4 linked regions of the Oryzias latipes genome follow. The protein of the gene in region 4 purifies or fractionates together with the protein of the main gene of each other region. This does not show direct contact. Links are inferred from orthologs where the notes say so. Each region holds a gene or a part of one and is shown on either strand. Other genes may lie near its edges.

What was found. The genes of interacting proteins can lie anywhere in the genome.
Region 1: the proteins of SMC5-SMC6 complex localization factor protein 2 (region 4) and rad18 purify together in Homo sapiens (affinity purification with mass spectrometry; 3 studies listed by BioGRID and IntAct, with this or other methods). This does not show direct contact. The link is inferred for Oryzias latipes from reciprocal best matches to the Homo sapiens genes SLF2 and RAD18.
Region 2: the proteins of SMC5-SMC6 complex localization factor protein 2 (region 4) and slf1 purify together in Homo sapiens (co-immunoprecipitation; 3 studies listed by BioGRID and IntAct, with this or other methods). This does not show direct contact. The link is inferred for Oryzias latipes from reciprocal best matches to the Homo sapiens genes SLF2 and SLF1.
Region 3: the proteins of SMC5-SMC6 complex localization factor protein 2 (region 4) and smc5 purify together in Homo sapiens (affinity purification with mass spectrometry; 3 studies listed by BioGRID and IntAct, with this or other methods). This does not show direct contact. The link is inferred for Oryzias latipes from reciprocal best matches to the Homo sapiens genes SLF2 and SMC5.

The regions. Positions count from the first base shown.
Region 1 is NC_019863.2:2,784,713-2,788,426, forward strand, and holds part of rad18 (E3 ubiquitin-protein ligase RAD18), read left to right. Parts: intron 1-131; coding exon 132-529; intron 530-880; coding exon 881-980; intron 981-2,685; coding exon 2,686-2,873; intron 2,874-3,273; coding exon 3,274-3,344; intron 3,345-3,588; coding exon 3,589-3,649; intron 3,650-3,714. UniProt on the Homo sapiens protein: E3 ubiquitin-protein ligase involved in postreplication repair of UV-damaged DNA. Postreplication repair functions in gap-filling of a daughter strand on replication of damaged DNA.
Region 2 is NC_019867.2:15,917,816-15,921,529, forward strand, and holds part of slf1 (SMC5-SMC6 complex localization factor protein 1), read left to right. Parts: intron 1-686; coding exon 687-856; intron 857-958; coding exon 959-1,093; intron 1,094-2,230; coding exon 2,231-2,387; intron 2,388-2,910; coding exon 2,911-3,073; intron 3,074-3,408; coding exon 3,409-3,554; intron 3,555-3,714. UniProt on the Homo sapiens protein: Plays a role in the DNA damage response (DDR) pathway by regulating postreplication repair of UV-damaged DNA and genomic stability maintenance.
Region 3 is NC_019865.2:11,194,361-11,198,074, forward strand, and holds part of smc5 (structural maintenance of chromosomes protein 5), read right to left. Parts: intron 3,481-3,714; coding exon 3,409-3,480; intron 2,683-3,408; coding exon 2,427-2,682; intron 2,305-2,426; coding exon 2,150-2,304; intron 1,985-2,149; coding exon 1,871-1,984; intron 1,721-1,870; coding exon 1,626-1,720; intron 1-1,625. UniProt on the Homo sapiens protein: Core component of the SMC5-SMC6 complex, a complex involved in repair of DNA double-strand breaks by homologous recombination.
Region 4 is NC_019873.2:22,423,988-22,426,621, forward strand, and holds the end of SMC5-SMC6 complex localization factor protein 2, read right to left. Parts: intron 1,747-2,634; coding exon 1,678-1,746; intron 1,576-1,677; coding exon 1,246-1,575; 3' UTR 707-1,245; downstream 1-706. UniProt on the Homo sapiens protein: Plays a role in the DNA damage response (DDR) pathway by regulating postreplication repair of UV-damaged DNA and genomic stability maintenance.

The DNA of each region.
Region 1 (3,714 bases), on a different chromosome or scaffold from region 4:
GTTAAAAGAATTTCTGTGTGCTTGGTTTCACCAAGAGCCTAATCGTTTTCTATCCCAACTGTCTGCTCCTCTGGTTTCCTTATACTCTCATACTCTCACTGACATGTTGTTTTTTTGTTTTTGTTTTCCAGGCAACAGCTAATAAAAGCTAATTTTGACTCGCCTCCAATATCACCAAAGACACCAGCATCAGTGGCGAAGTGTCAGACTCCCAGAGAGAAAGGCCAGAAACCCACCAGCTCCATTCTAAGCCACTTTTTCCAGAAGAAGGTTAAATCGCCGTCCGGCAGAGAAGCCCATCAAGATATTCAGTCAAGGGAATTACAGACTGCACAACCTGGCAATTCAGGGAACGTTCAAACAGGACAACTTCGGACATCAGTGGTTATAAAGGAAGAACCAATGGATGTGGAAGACTCCTCCACTCTGACCTTCGGTGCAGTGAAACACGAGGACATGGCTTCATACAGCTCTAGGTTTCACATGACAAATCCCTCACCATCAAAAGATGTTAAGCCTGTAATCAAAGGTGAAGTTCTTTTACCTTTAGGCTAAAAGCAATGCATCTTCAAGACATTTGATCTGTCTTTGATCGCTGTTAGATCAGTCGTGGAGCTCCAGCAGCACCAGAATAGAAAAGGGTCAAGATCCTCAGAAGATTTAATGTGCTGTAATCTCATCATAAAAGCTTTCAATTAATTACCTGATCTACATGGCAAAAATAATCTGTTCATTTGGTTGAATACTGAGGAAAGGGAATATGATGTTTTCTGTAGTGTCCAAAGTGTTTTTTTTTCCATCAGGTGCAGCAACAGAAAGGTTTCCTGTAGTAGATGCATCGATGAAATAGGTGATGGCATATTTATCTGCTTTTTTTCAGTGGAATGTCCAGTTTGTTCTGTAAGTGTGTCACAACACTTTATCAACAAGCATCTGGACTCCTGTCTTACCCGAGGAGAGAAGAAGGAGAGCCTGCGGAGGTAAGGAACCCTTACGATACATCACCTAAATGAGCACACTGTACTGTTGTTTAATCAATGTTAGCTCTTTAGAATGAAGTGACGGCTCAATAAAAGTTAGGGTATTGGCTTTAAAGCGTTAAAAAGCTAGTATGTGCATTTTTCACTGCCTTTTTGGGATGAGCATCAGAGTTTCAGCTTTTGTTGTTCAAGTATGAGGGAGTGCATCAAGCAGAGTGGGAGAAAAGGGGCCTGATTTTAGGGGTTTGACCCTCAGTGCCCTCGCATAGCATTACAGAAAGTCTTTGTAATGTGTTTGCATGTTTAATCACTTTTTGTTTTTTTAGTTTAGCTGGACTCAAACCAGCTGAGGCTTTATTTTTACCTCTTCAGGCAAAAGAAGAAGAAAAAGCTGATCCAGGTGTATTTGTAAGGGGAACAATTGTGAGGCAATTTTTCTCTGTACAAAGTCTTGTACAGAGAAAAATTACACAAAGACCACAACTATCCTGTGGGCAGATTTAAGGCAGTTTCATCCTATTAAGTTCTGAGCAGAGGTTCTATCAGCTGACTGCTTTTGAATGATCTCTTGAGTTTACACACAATAGGATCTAATGTCCGTTTTGACCCCAAACCGTTGAGTTACTTATAACGTAGGAGCAATACTTTGGACAAAAAAAGATTCTGTGTGGACTTAAAATCAGGATTAGGTGATCAGTTCTCCTGGTTTGGGGTAAAACTCTAGCAGAATAGTTACATCAGTCCAGTCTGTATGATAATATTTGAGTTAGCTTTTCTAAATCTAACCTGAAGCGTTCTGTTTCACCAAATCAAGAAAAGGCTGATGTCGATACAGAATTGATGTGAAATTACAAGCTGGGATCTAATTGAATGCTGACGTCAGCATTCTAAATAGTTTCTTTTTTTGTTTTCTTCTAAGCCTGTAGAGCTTTGTCTCTCATTTCCAAAAACAGTTTATATCCTGTCCTTGTTTAACCAAGGAACATTTCCTCTGCTTTTCAGGGAGCTCCACGTTGTCCATGAAATTGTGAAATAAAAAAGTTATTAGTGCGTGTGATCTAAATGTTGTGTTGATGGGTGGCTTTGGTAACATCAGGCAGTCCAGCTACTGTCTGATTTAAAGCACAGGCAGCCTTAAAGGTCATCTTCTCAGTATGGTATCCCTTTGGTTTAGAAATCAACATACAATATAACCAATTCCAATACAAACATTTTAACAAGGAAACAAACATTTGCATTGCTGTAATCCTCTTTGGTCCCGTCACCCAACAGAGTTGTCAAACCATTTAATGTTAATTACCAATTCTTTGCTGAAAACGATTCTTAATTTTACACATTTGCTACAACAAACGTTTCCATCATTTTTCTTCCTGTGTATTCTGTCAAAGATGGGAAAGTTAGAAGATTCTGAATTGGTCATCTTTTAAAGAGTTCTATGCAGCACTTATGTGTTTTTGTGTGGCAGCACCAACACCTGACGTTTCGTCGAGTCAAGTCGGTTTGACAAACTCACATTGCAATATTTTCTGATACAATGTGTTTACATGCTGTGGTATGATGGATCAGCTTCACACATTCGCCCTTGTGCTTTACACATCACGGCATTCTGGACCGTCGGTGATTGATGGTGGGACTTAGCATAGAAATCCGCCTCAGGAATTACCTGGTGAATTCCCAACATAAACAGTCAATTTGTCTTTTTCAGCTCTCTTGGCAAAGCCAGGCGTCCAATGGCGAAGCTGGTGTACAACCTACTTTCAATGCAGGAGCTGAGGAGGAGGCTGAAGGAGTGCCAACTGTCAGTGCAGGGTTCTCGGGACCAGCTAGTCAGGAGGCACCAGGATTTTATCCATCTGTTCAATGCAGAGTGTGACTCCCTCAATCCAAAATCAGGTGGTGAAATGAATTCTGTATTTATATTTATACATGTTCAAGAAACCGCTAGGAATAACCCAGCGGCATAGTTCATGTAGGTGCTCTTTCTATGATGTTTTTTTTAATGTACATTGGAAATCACAAATGTATGCTGCTAGACAAAGTACCTGAAAGTTACTCAAAGTACATCTTGTTCTGAGCCAGCAACCTCAGGTGCTCTTGGGTTGTTTTCATCAGCCACACATGCACAGTCGCAAGAACATTGTGTGTTTACAAAGCTCTAAAGAATACACCAAATAACCTGCTCTCAGCTGATCAGGTGCTTTGTTAAGAAAAAAAAGGAAAAAAACAGCCTGATGAACATAACACTTTTGCTACCATTCATTATATCACACCTTTCTCCATTTTCTATCAACAGTTGAAGAGATTGCAAAAGAAGTGGAGGCCAACGAGAAGATGAGAAGTCAACTTCAAGGGAAAATCAAACCTGTAAGTACTTTTCACTGGTGGAGAGCTTGGCACTTCTCTTGTGAAGTGAACCCTGTTTTTTTGTGATGTGTATCTGTAATGACTGATAACAAGCTGAAAGTGGTTTAGCACTTTTATAGCGGCCCAAAAGCTTTATATGGATAAGAAATTCAAGATGTATGCAAAGGCTGCTATCATAGCACACCATGTAAACAACTGCTAGGTCAAACAAAGTCACAACTGTTTTTAAAATGTTCTCTTGAAGGTCATGGTTTTCTCCAAGAATCATTCTGAGGAGGAGATTGAGGCGATGCATTCAAACTATAGTAAGTGCTTTTTGTGCCTACTGCTGACATTTATCCATCCTCTTTTAATAACTGTACTATCTTTT
Region 2 (3,714 bases), on a different chromosome or scaffold from region 4:
AAATAGCACACAGCTGCGTGTTGTTTTCATTATCACTTTATCCGTCAGTCACATCAGTGTGGAGGACACGTGGAACATTTTTTTGACAATTCTTTTGAACATTTGGTTATGAACGCAGTGATTTCTAAAGATCCTGATGCATTGTTTCAAGTAGGTGGAACTCTTGACTTCTAAACATTGAAACTGCTTTGGAATCAGTGAAGCGGAGAGGGTGTCATTTAAGGCTAGATAAAACCAGCTGATCTCTTTTCTTAGAAAACAAACGTGTTAAAAGTTACATTGTAGGGTTTTCTTAAGGTCAACGTGAAAAACAACTTTAGGACAAATCTTTTTGAAAGGATCTGTGATCAAGTGCCATTGTTATGGTGCATTATCCATTTTTGATTGATTGATTCACTTTTGAGGATAAGATGTCACAAATAACCTTGTATATTTTGATACATTCATGAGTTTATGGTCAATTCAAAGGCTGCTCTGTATAATTATCCCTCCACCTACATGTTTTTTTTTTTTTGGCACTGGAAGCCACCTTTCCAGATCCTCTACATTGCACATAAATGTATGACCTTGGATGTTCACAGTGGTGTCAACAAGAGATGACACTTTTTTCATCTGCATTGACATTTGACACATTTCCTTTGCATTTATATGCCATAAACTCAACTCACTTGTACATTATGTTACAGGGCAATGCCACACAAGCCTTCCTGAGATCTTTACATCAGTTTTTGAGTGTCCTGCTCATTACCAACCCGCCATGGCTGGCTCTTAGTACAGGGAAAAAATATTACATTCAAGTGCTGCAGTGTCCACAGTGTAAGAATGGCTTGTGGCCTTTTTTAGAGACAGCCATCAGGTAAACTACAAGTCCCATGAAATGTCTTATAAAATGCTATCACATTATTAATGAACAAAGTGATGTTTTGGTTCATATCTACAAATACGTGTGATCTTTTAGGTATTGCCTGTTCGACAGTGCCACTTGTCACCCCCTCCCTGGACCTGGGCTGCCAACTCTAATACATTTCAACCGTGACATTCTGGCACTTTGTCTGAAGATTTTCCAAGGGGAACTCCACTGTATTACAAGCAGGTAACAACTCCAAAGGCCCTTTTCTCATTTTCTTTTATTGTATTTTCAGCATCACAAGGCACACTGTATTATAAGGCGTAAAAAAGGTAACAGAAGCAAAACAGTGAGTTTAGTTGAACTTTATTCCACTATTTAGCAATCCACTCGCATCAATCCTCTCCAACAAGCCCCACAAAGTTCTATTCTTTGATGTCCGACTTTAATAATTTCGCAATTTCTGATCAAATGTACTGCGTTCCCTCTCATTGCCCTGTAGTTGTTCAGCAATGATGCCAGCTTTGTCAAAAGCTCAGACAACAGTTACAGCAGATACTTTAGCCCATGCGACCACAATCCATTAAGGCGCCGCCTCCCAGTCTTAGTAAGTGTGTGTGCGCCATCTGTCATCCATCGCTTCCACGAACAAAGATGCACACCCTAGACTTCTTTTCTTCCAGTAACTCCGGGAACCTTATTTTAAGGCCTGAAGGGGACCTGACGGAGTTTGATCACACACTAAGTCAGCATGACTAAATCCGAGTGACTTGCGCAGTCACGTGCAGCAAACGTACTAGAAAACTATCTGCGTAAACTTTGACTGGATCTTTGTGCAAGAGGGGAGCGGGGACTTCCAGGAAAGCTCAAAATCAGACGCGTGCTCCAATGTAGTTGCATGGGAGGGGGAAAGGCTGTCCACTTCTGGACATGACTTAATAACACAATAATCTCCGGGACTAACAGACAATGGAATGCTGTCAGACAAATCGTGCCCATATTTTCAGGACTGCACATTCGTAATGGTGCAGGGTGTGCCGATCTTTATGTTTAGGTAGCACTAAGGAGAGTTTCTGCAGTACCTTGAACTTTACCTCTGAACACATTGTTTCTTGGAGCAGGGCTATACCCCTTTTACGAGTAACGCAAGACAAACTGCCTTATAGTTCGTAAAGTACGGTATTTTTTATTTTTGTGGTCATCCTAACCTGTCAAAAAAGATCTATTCTAACAAATATATGGATTTCATCTGATGATGGATTCTTACTTCCCTTCACAACATTTATTTTTGCCTCAAGGGTCATTCCACTATAAATGTCACTAATGGAGGTTGTCAGTAATTATTTTTCTTACCTTTCTTTTATGTACCTTTCTGTCCGTCAGAGGTTTCCTACAGGGAACACGAGCGTCCCCTTCTTTATCATCGTCGTCATCAAGCTCCTTGTTGTACAGAACCTTCTGGACTGTGTGGGAGCGCTCGACGTTACTGTCCCATGCTGTGAAACAACTTGCTCAGCTCTTAATCCAGGCTGCAATGGTGGTAAATGGTTTATTTTTTCTTGTTGGTTAAGGAAAATATAGCTAAATCACTTAAAATTTGGTTTCTTCAAAGACCCACTCCGACGAAAACCGTGGTTTTGGTGTGTTTTTTAACACGTTCTTGTGGCATTTTTCTGATGATAGAGGACATTTATAAAAAAATTAAGCTTGTAATTGCCATTCTGGGTATTTCTTCATTCAAATCGTTGGGAATCAGGAGCAGCAGAAAAAAAGCTGTTTAAAGAGGTTGTAGCTGTGATGTAGAAAATTCTATGAAGCAAACCCCAACCCCAATTTCTAAAGAAGTACTGCCACTCTGCTGAAACTATGTCCTGGAAAATGACAGTGTTTTTAAATTGTTTTTTTTTTTTTCAATTTAAAAATAGCATAATCATATTTAAAAGACCACTAGGAATACTTTTAAAGTAGGTCAAAAGGTGATCAGAGTGGGACTTTAAGCTTGTAAAACGTAGCTTTTCAGGTTTACCGAATCCACAGTGCCATGTTGTTTACTCTAATTAAAGGACTATGCTGAGAGAGACGAGAACCTGCATTTGGCAGACATCCTGTTGGACCTGCTCTCTGTGTTGGTAGAGTTCTGGTACCAGCAACACTTCAAACTGAACCAGATTCTGGTGGACAAAGGTTTCAAAGACCTGTCGGAACACCTTGTCATTATTACCCAGGGTATGTAAAAACAACACAAAGTTTCAAAAGTGATTGAATCCATTGTTGATATGGGACTTAACCCTTGTGCTATCCTAGGCACATTAACATGATTGTGGGGTCATCTAGACCCCACAAGACAGTGTGCTAAACTTTTTTTCTTCAATGATATGTGATCTTCACTGGAATCCTCTTCACCTTTATCCACCTTTGTTCTGTTAGGATCGGGTCATCTGGACCCCATAGGATAGCACAAGGGTTAAGAAAACTCTGCAAACGTTTGTTAGTGTTTGTGATTGTTTGTTTATTAAAACGTAATTTCTGACTGAATGCTATCCTGCGTATTTCCTCTGCAGATGTGTCTCCATCTGTTTTAATTGAGTTGGTGGCCAGAGTTCACTCATCCAGGTTTCGTCTGGTGATGGCCGATGCCATGTTCCGGAATCTCTGCTGCAGAAGCGGCTGCACTCTGGGAGACGAACCTCTTTCTCTTAAGAAGATGGTGGGCCTTCTTCCTGTTTGTTTTTTTCTATAATGTATTTAAATACATGATTAGTATTAGGTTTATTAGTGACCGACAAAAAATATTCAGAGATATTGGCAGATTATTTCTGTCTGTCTACAGTAAATGCTGGTAAAAGCCTTTACTTTCTTAAATTATC
Region 3 (3,714 bases), on a different chromosome or scaffold from region 4:
ACCAACCGTGGGCCGGGCGGATGGCTGCCTGGAGTGCGGAGCGGGTCTCCCTTGGGGGGGTCCTGGCTCGTACCTGGGGTTGGGGCGGGGAGATGCCCGGAACTCCTGGGTGGTGGTGGGGTGCTCGTCTGGGGCTGTGGGCGTCCTTCTCCGGTGGGGCCCTGCGTTGGGTTCTCCCGGCGCGGCGGGGGGGCTGCTCTCCTGGTTGGGCTGGGGCGGCGCTCTCTTTCCCTCCGTGCCTCCCTGCTCTCTGGCTCTGGGGGCCTTGCGGCGGCCCTGCTGGCCCTGGCCTGGGTGGCGGGCTTGGTCGCCCGGGCGGCGGTTGTTCCCTGCCGGTTCCCGTGTGGCGTTGGGGGGATTCCGGCTGCCGCTGCTGGTGCGGTGGGGGTCTTGGGGTGGGGATGGCTGGGCACTCTCCCTCCTTCTTTTCACGTTCCACCCTCCATTTTAGAAGAACATAAACACTCACCTGACCACAGGTGTTAGCTCAACAGACTGAATGACTGAAATATTTCACACTAGTTGGTTTTAAGGCATAAGTATGCGTGTGAACACTATCTGTTTTGTGTACATGTCGACAGGTGGACATTTTTGCAACTAACAGGTGTGTTTATAACATTTGAGTGTGTGTGTGGACAGGCTCCGCCCTTTTTTTTTTACATTTAAACCTTACCATAATGATTAACAACCAGTAAACTTGTTGCTTTATGCTGCTTCATGGTCTTATCCCCCTTCCCCTTCTATTATCACCCCCTACCCCCCCCTCTCTCTAACGTCCCTCTCTCTTCTTCCCCTCTTTCCTTTTCCGTCCGGTCCAACACCAAAGATTTTCAGACATGTTTGAAATTAATAAAGTTTGGCCTCAATTACAAAAGGGGTTTATTCAGACATACCTTTGGTTTGTCTGAAGATTAATAACCCCTCTTGTTAAAGTAAAATATGTCCAACCCAAGAGGCCCTCAGCTCTCATCTGACTGCCCAGCTGTTGGACAGGACAAGTTAAAAAAAAAAAAAAAAAAAAAAAAAAAAAAAAAAGAAAATAGATCAACAGATTATTGGAGTGGGACTTGAAACATGATCATTCCAGATTGTGCAGAAACATTACTTTACATTTAAAGAAAACCTTTTGAATCACTTGTGATCACAATATTCCATATAAATCTAGAAGGACAAACCAACACCTACTGTACTTAGATTGGATGTCCTTAAAATGTACTAAAGTATCTGGTCTAAAGGAATACTCAGAAAAATGAGTCTGAAATGTGAGCCATCATTTGCATCACTGCAGCCAAATAAGCCGCCACTTGATATGGAAACATACGGTCCTAACATTTGAATATAGTGAAACAACTCAAGGCCAGAAGACACACAAGTACCCATGTCATGTTTAATTTGCCGTGTGACTAAATAAACTAACCTGTGGCATTGCAAATGCAGAAAGTTTACCCAAATAGATATTAACAAACACAAAGATCATTTTTTCCTGTCCTAGTTGATCTCTTTATGTGATTTTAAAATAAAATGTGGAATATTCGATAACTGTTATTCACCACAACAGTAAAACAGAGATCACTTTTTTTTTTTTTTTTATAGTCATTTCAGTGATCAAAGACATCTTCACTTACCTCAGAGACTCAATATTCCTTGAAGGCGGGCGCTTAGAACAAGACTCCTCTGGAGCAGAAATAGAGTTCACTTTTAAGTTCATCTTGTCGCGGACCTGATGAGCAAACGGGAAAAAGTAATAAACTGAACAACTGCAGGAGGTCAACAGGCTTACAAAGACCAGTTTATGGAGGTTTTCCTTTCACCGTTTGCTACCAACTGTTGTCAAACTGCATTTCTATATGACATCAAGGACCCCCCTGACCTCAGTCATGAACTTTTCCATGTCATCTTTCCTCTGGAAGACAAACGCACGCAGGTCCTGGAATGCGATGTGGTTCTCCACATATTTAGCGAAGCGATTATCCTTCACGTTGATCTGAAGGTAAAAGCAGGACATTCGTCAAAAATGGTACAAGACAATCCTGACATCATCACTGCCAGAAACAAAAAGGACAGTTGTGTCACATTTACTCTTTATTCTGTGTTCACATGTTTGGAGTCTTAACAAATCAAAAAAGTCATCCTTTTCTGTGGAACTCACCACCAGCATAATGGGTTCATGGACCTCCCCCTGGAAGAGGCTTTTGTTCTGCCGCAGCCACTGAAGGGCAGTGTATGTGTCCCTGTGACGTCCTCGCAGCTTCTCCTCCTTCACATTCATCATATTGTTCATGTCGTTCAGTTTCTTTTCCAATGCTACAGAACAAAAACGTTTTTATCCAACATTCTGCTAAACTTGTTTATGATGGTTCAACATGGAAAACACGGCGCAAACGGGCTGGGACATCGCATTTGTTTGACGTTTCCTGCAGACTTACTTCTGGACTCAGCTATGAGGTTGTCCTTCTCCCTACGCAAATCCGCCTTCTCTCCTTCGATCTTGGCTTTCTCCTCTTGGATCTGCCTCAGCTCCAGGTTGACGGCATTAATCTGTGGCGCTACGTCTGGTTGGTCAGCCACTTTGGCCAACTCTGCTTTTAGGTCATCAATGGCCCGCCTCGTATTACTGATTCGTTTCTGGTGGTCCTCTTCTTCCATCTGCTTCAGTCTCAACGCTTGTTTGATGTCATCTACCTGCACAGAAGGGAGTAAGCTAAGTTCTTCTGGGAGTTTTTTGTTTTTTTATTACGCTTGTTCTGCCAAAAAATATGCATCGTTTTTTGTTTTGTTTTTTACAGATGAGAGCTGAAAGCCTCTTGTGTTGGACATATTTTACTGCTACAATGGGGTTTATGAAACAGTTGACACACTAAGTGTACCTTTATATAAACCTCTTTTGTTATTTAGGCTAAACTTTATTCATCTTACTCATATCTGTTGGACCAGACGGAAAAGAAAAGAAGGGATGAAGAGAGAGGCATGGGGGGGCGTTAAATAGGAGGGGAATAGAACCGCGAAGCAGCATAAGGCAACAAATCCAAGGGGGGGGGGGGCTGTCCACACACACACCCAAATGCCTCCAAAAATGCCCACATACAAGATATGTCAACATGTACACAATACAACTGACGGTCACACACTTATGCATTCGGACCAACCCATGTGAAATGTTTCATTTAATCACTCAAACTATCTGTGCAAAGGTGAGACAGCACCTGTGCTCGAGTGGATCTTTATGTTCTTCTAAAGTGGATGATGAAATCTAAAAAGAAGGAGGGAGAGTACCAAGCCATTCCCACACTAAGACGTCCGCCGCTGCAGCAGATAGAGAACAACTTCCCGCCGGGCAATCACATCCGCCTCCCAGACCAGGGCCTGGCATAGGGGGGCCCAGAACAGAACAGAACAAAAACCTCTCACCTCTTTGTGTTTTCGGTCCAGCTGATCCTGTTTCTGTTTGCACTTTAAAGAGGCTTCTTTGATAGCTGCAGTCTGAAAAACATCAAAAACATCTCATGAATCTTGAGAAAATTATATTTCTCAAGCATTTATGAAAAATAAACTTATAAGAAAACCGGTAGGATTTAATTAAAAGATAAAATATTTTAGACTTTGACTGCAGGTGGGTGTTTTTTTAAAGAGACAGTTGCAGTGGGGCAAAAGCCAGTCATTGATTCATTCATTCTTTTTCTTCCATTTATCCCTTTCGGGGTCACGGGGCTGCCG
Region 4 (2,634 bases):
CTCCAAACAAAATATTCATTAAAATCATTATTTTAGCGACGAGGTTTGTGTTGATTTTTACGTAGTGTCAGTATTATCAAAGGTAAAAGATTTTACTTAAAAGAAAGTCATTAACGAGGGCTAAAAGTAAGTAAAGATAAATCACACGTCATTTCTTAGATCGTACACTAGTTAATAATAAAAAATTTAAATAGCAGATTGAAAGAGGGCTTCCTGCTTATGTTTTTGACAGAATTTAAAGAGGAACTAGCAGCTGTTGAAGAAATATCCAGATGAACTAATCATAAGCAAAGCTGGCCACATAAAAAATTGGTGGCTAAGATGTGAAATTGAAAAGGATCAATGGCAGCAGCAGTGGTATGCCTATTAACCAGGTGAGACCATTTTCCAAAGCAATATTAAGATAGTTGCAATAATAATACTATGACTTAAATATGTTCTTTTTACTCTTAAAAACGTATTTTGTATAATTTAATCTGCAGCCCATCTCCCCTCTATTCCTACTTTGACTTGATCATCTATTTGTAAGAGCTAAAGCTCCTCATATGGCAGTTTATGTTTTACTTCAACTAAACGTGTTTTTTGTTGAGCACACAAAACCCCAACAGCTTCTTTGACTTCATTCAGCTAGCTTCAAAATAGCACAATTAGATGCCAGAGTATACTTAATAAATACTTAGAACATAGAATCAAGTACCAAATTATCTATATTTTTCTTAATTTTTTAATAAAAACAGAGGAATTTTTATCCTAAATATCTTAGCATACACTATCAAATAATTTCAACAATTTTAGTGTAAATCTTTGCACATAAAGGCGAAAAATAATTTAAAAACAATAGTTTTTATGGTTCATTAAAATACAATATTGTAAATTGCAAAATTTTTCATTTTTACTAAAAAAATGGATACAAATATTTTGGTCAAAACTTTAAATTTAAGGGTAAACCTAACCAAGTGTTAAGAATGAAAAGCTGACATAACAACCCAACATGAATAGAATAACATATAACCTGTGTGAAAACAGTGTGAAACCAGTGTCATTTTTTTGTACATATAACTAAATGATACTAGGTCTGAAGCTTTACTAAATGTAATGCAAAAAACAGAACATATTTTTATAGCATAATACATGAGAACAAATACAAATGTACAGTTAGTCTGTTAAAGATCTATTACCAAAAAACCAAACAGTGCAAATAAACATGAGGCAAAGTCCTTTAAAGGTTTACTGACACACAGGTTATTAATGCGTCTCTTCTTGTGAATCAATTGGAGTTGAGTTCCCGGCACTGCCTTGCTGCAGGTCACTAGTCACTGCCTCTTCAACTGTGTTAGTGTCATCCTTGCTGGTGTCTCCTTCGTTGTCACTTGTCTGACTCGGTTCTGGATCGTTTACTTCATCCATTAACCCCTCGATTTTTTCTTCCTCCTCAGCAGTCGTAGATCCTTCGTCTTCATCAGTTGAAAGCCTATCCTGTTCCTCCTCATTCATTTCTTCATCAACTGTGCCCTCTTCCTCGTCTTGGCTGGAGCTTGTGATTTCTAAAGGTATATAATAATCGTAAAGCTTACCCTAAATGAAAAAAAAAAAGGCACAAGCATCACAAAATGAGTCAGAGGACAACCGTAATCAAAACGTGCTGCACATGTATCAATAAGATAATGACTAGCGTACATTGAGTGGTCTCGTCCTCTGAAGGAGCATCTGCCATTTGGTGTAAATCCTCGCAACCAGGTCTTTCAGCTGTGAGAAGAGAGAAAACTATTCTTCACTGTTGAGCCTTACAGATATTTTAAGGGAAGACTTTTAATTGATGAAAATAGTATTAAAACTACAGGTCACTGTTTATTCTAATGACTTTGCCGACTATTGTGAACATGTGCAGCAATAATTCATTAACCCTTGTGCTATCTTAGATGACCCCACCCTTACATTGACGTGTTCTCCCTACCATGACAAAGGTGGAAATATTACATGGAATCCATGGACACCAGAGAAGATCACAAATCATTGAAGAAAAAAGGTTCAGAGCACTGTCTAGTGCAGGGGTCGGGAACCTATGGCTCGCGAGCCATATATGGCTCTTTTGATGGTCACATGTGGCTCGCAGACAAATCTTTAATTATAGTTTTTTTTTTCATTAGACCAGTCCTTCTCGGGCGCGATGCGATGCCAGAGGCGCGCAGTAGTAGCAGTGCTTAGAGAGAGAAATCTGCGCCAGCGCTATCAGTTACTATTATCTATTATTTCACAGAGTTTGTACCAGCTGGAAACCTTTGAATTGACGTGCCTAAAACTGCGCGCTCCCGTCTCTGAGAAAGAGCGCGCAGATGCGGGGACGGGATGTGTGAGGGAGAAAGCAGAGGGTGGGGGTGAGGGGTTGTGGGGACAGCAGGTGAATCGCGCAGGGATTATAAAAACGTAAAACCCACTGCCTGTCACCCACTGCGGCGTGTGAGTATAGGTTTGGCTCCCCGTCTGCATGTGAGCAGTCTGTCTCACATCTACAGAACATTCAGACCTACGATCACGTTTAAAGTCTCAACACCTGCATGAAGCAGAAACTCACCACGTATCAACCAGACTAGACCATCAGCAAAAATACCACGAGAAATACTCATCATTTATTAG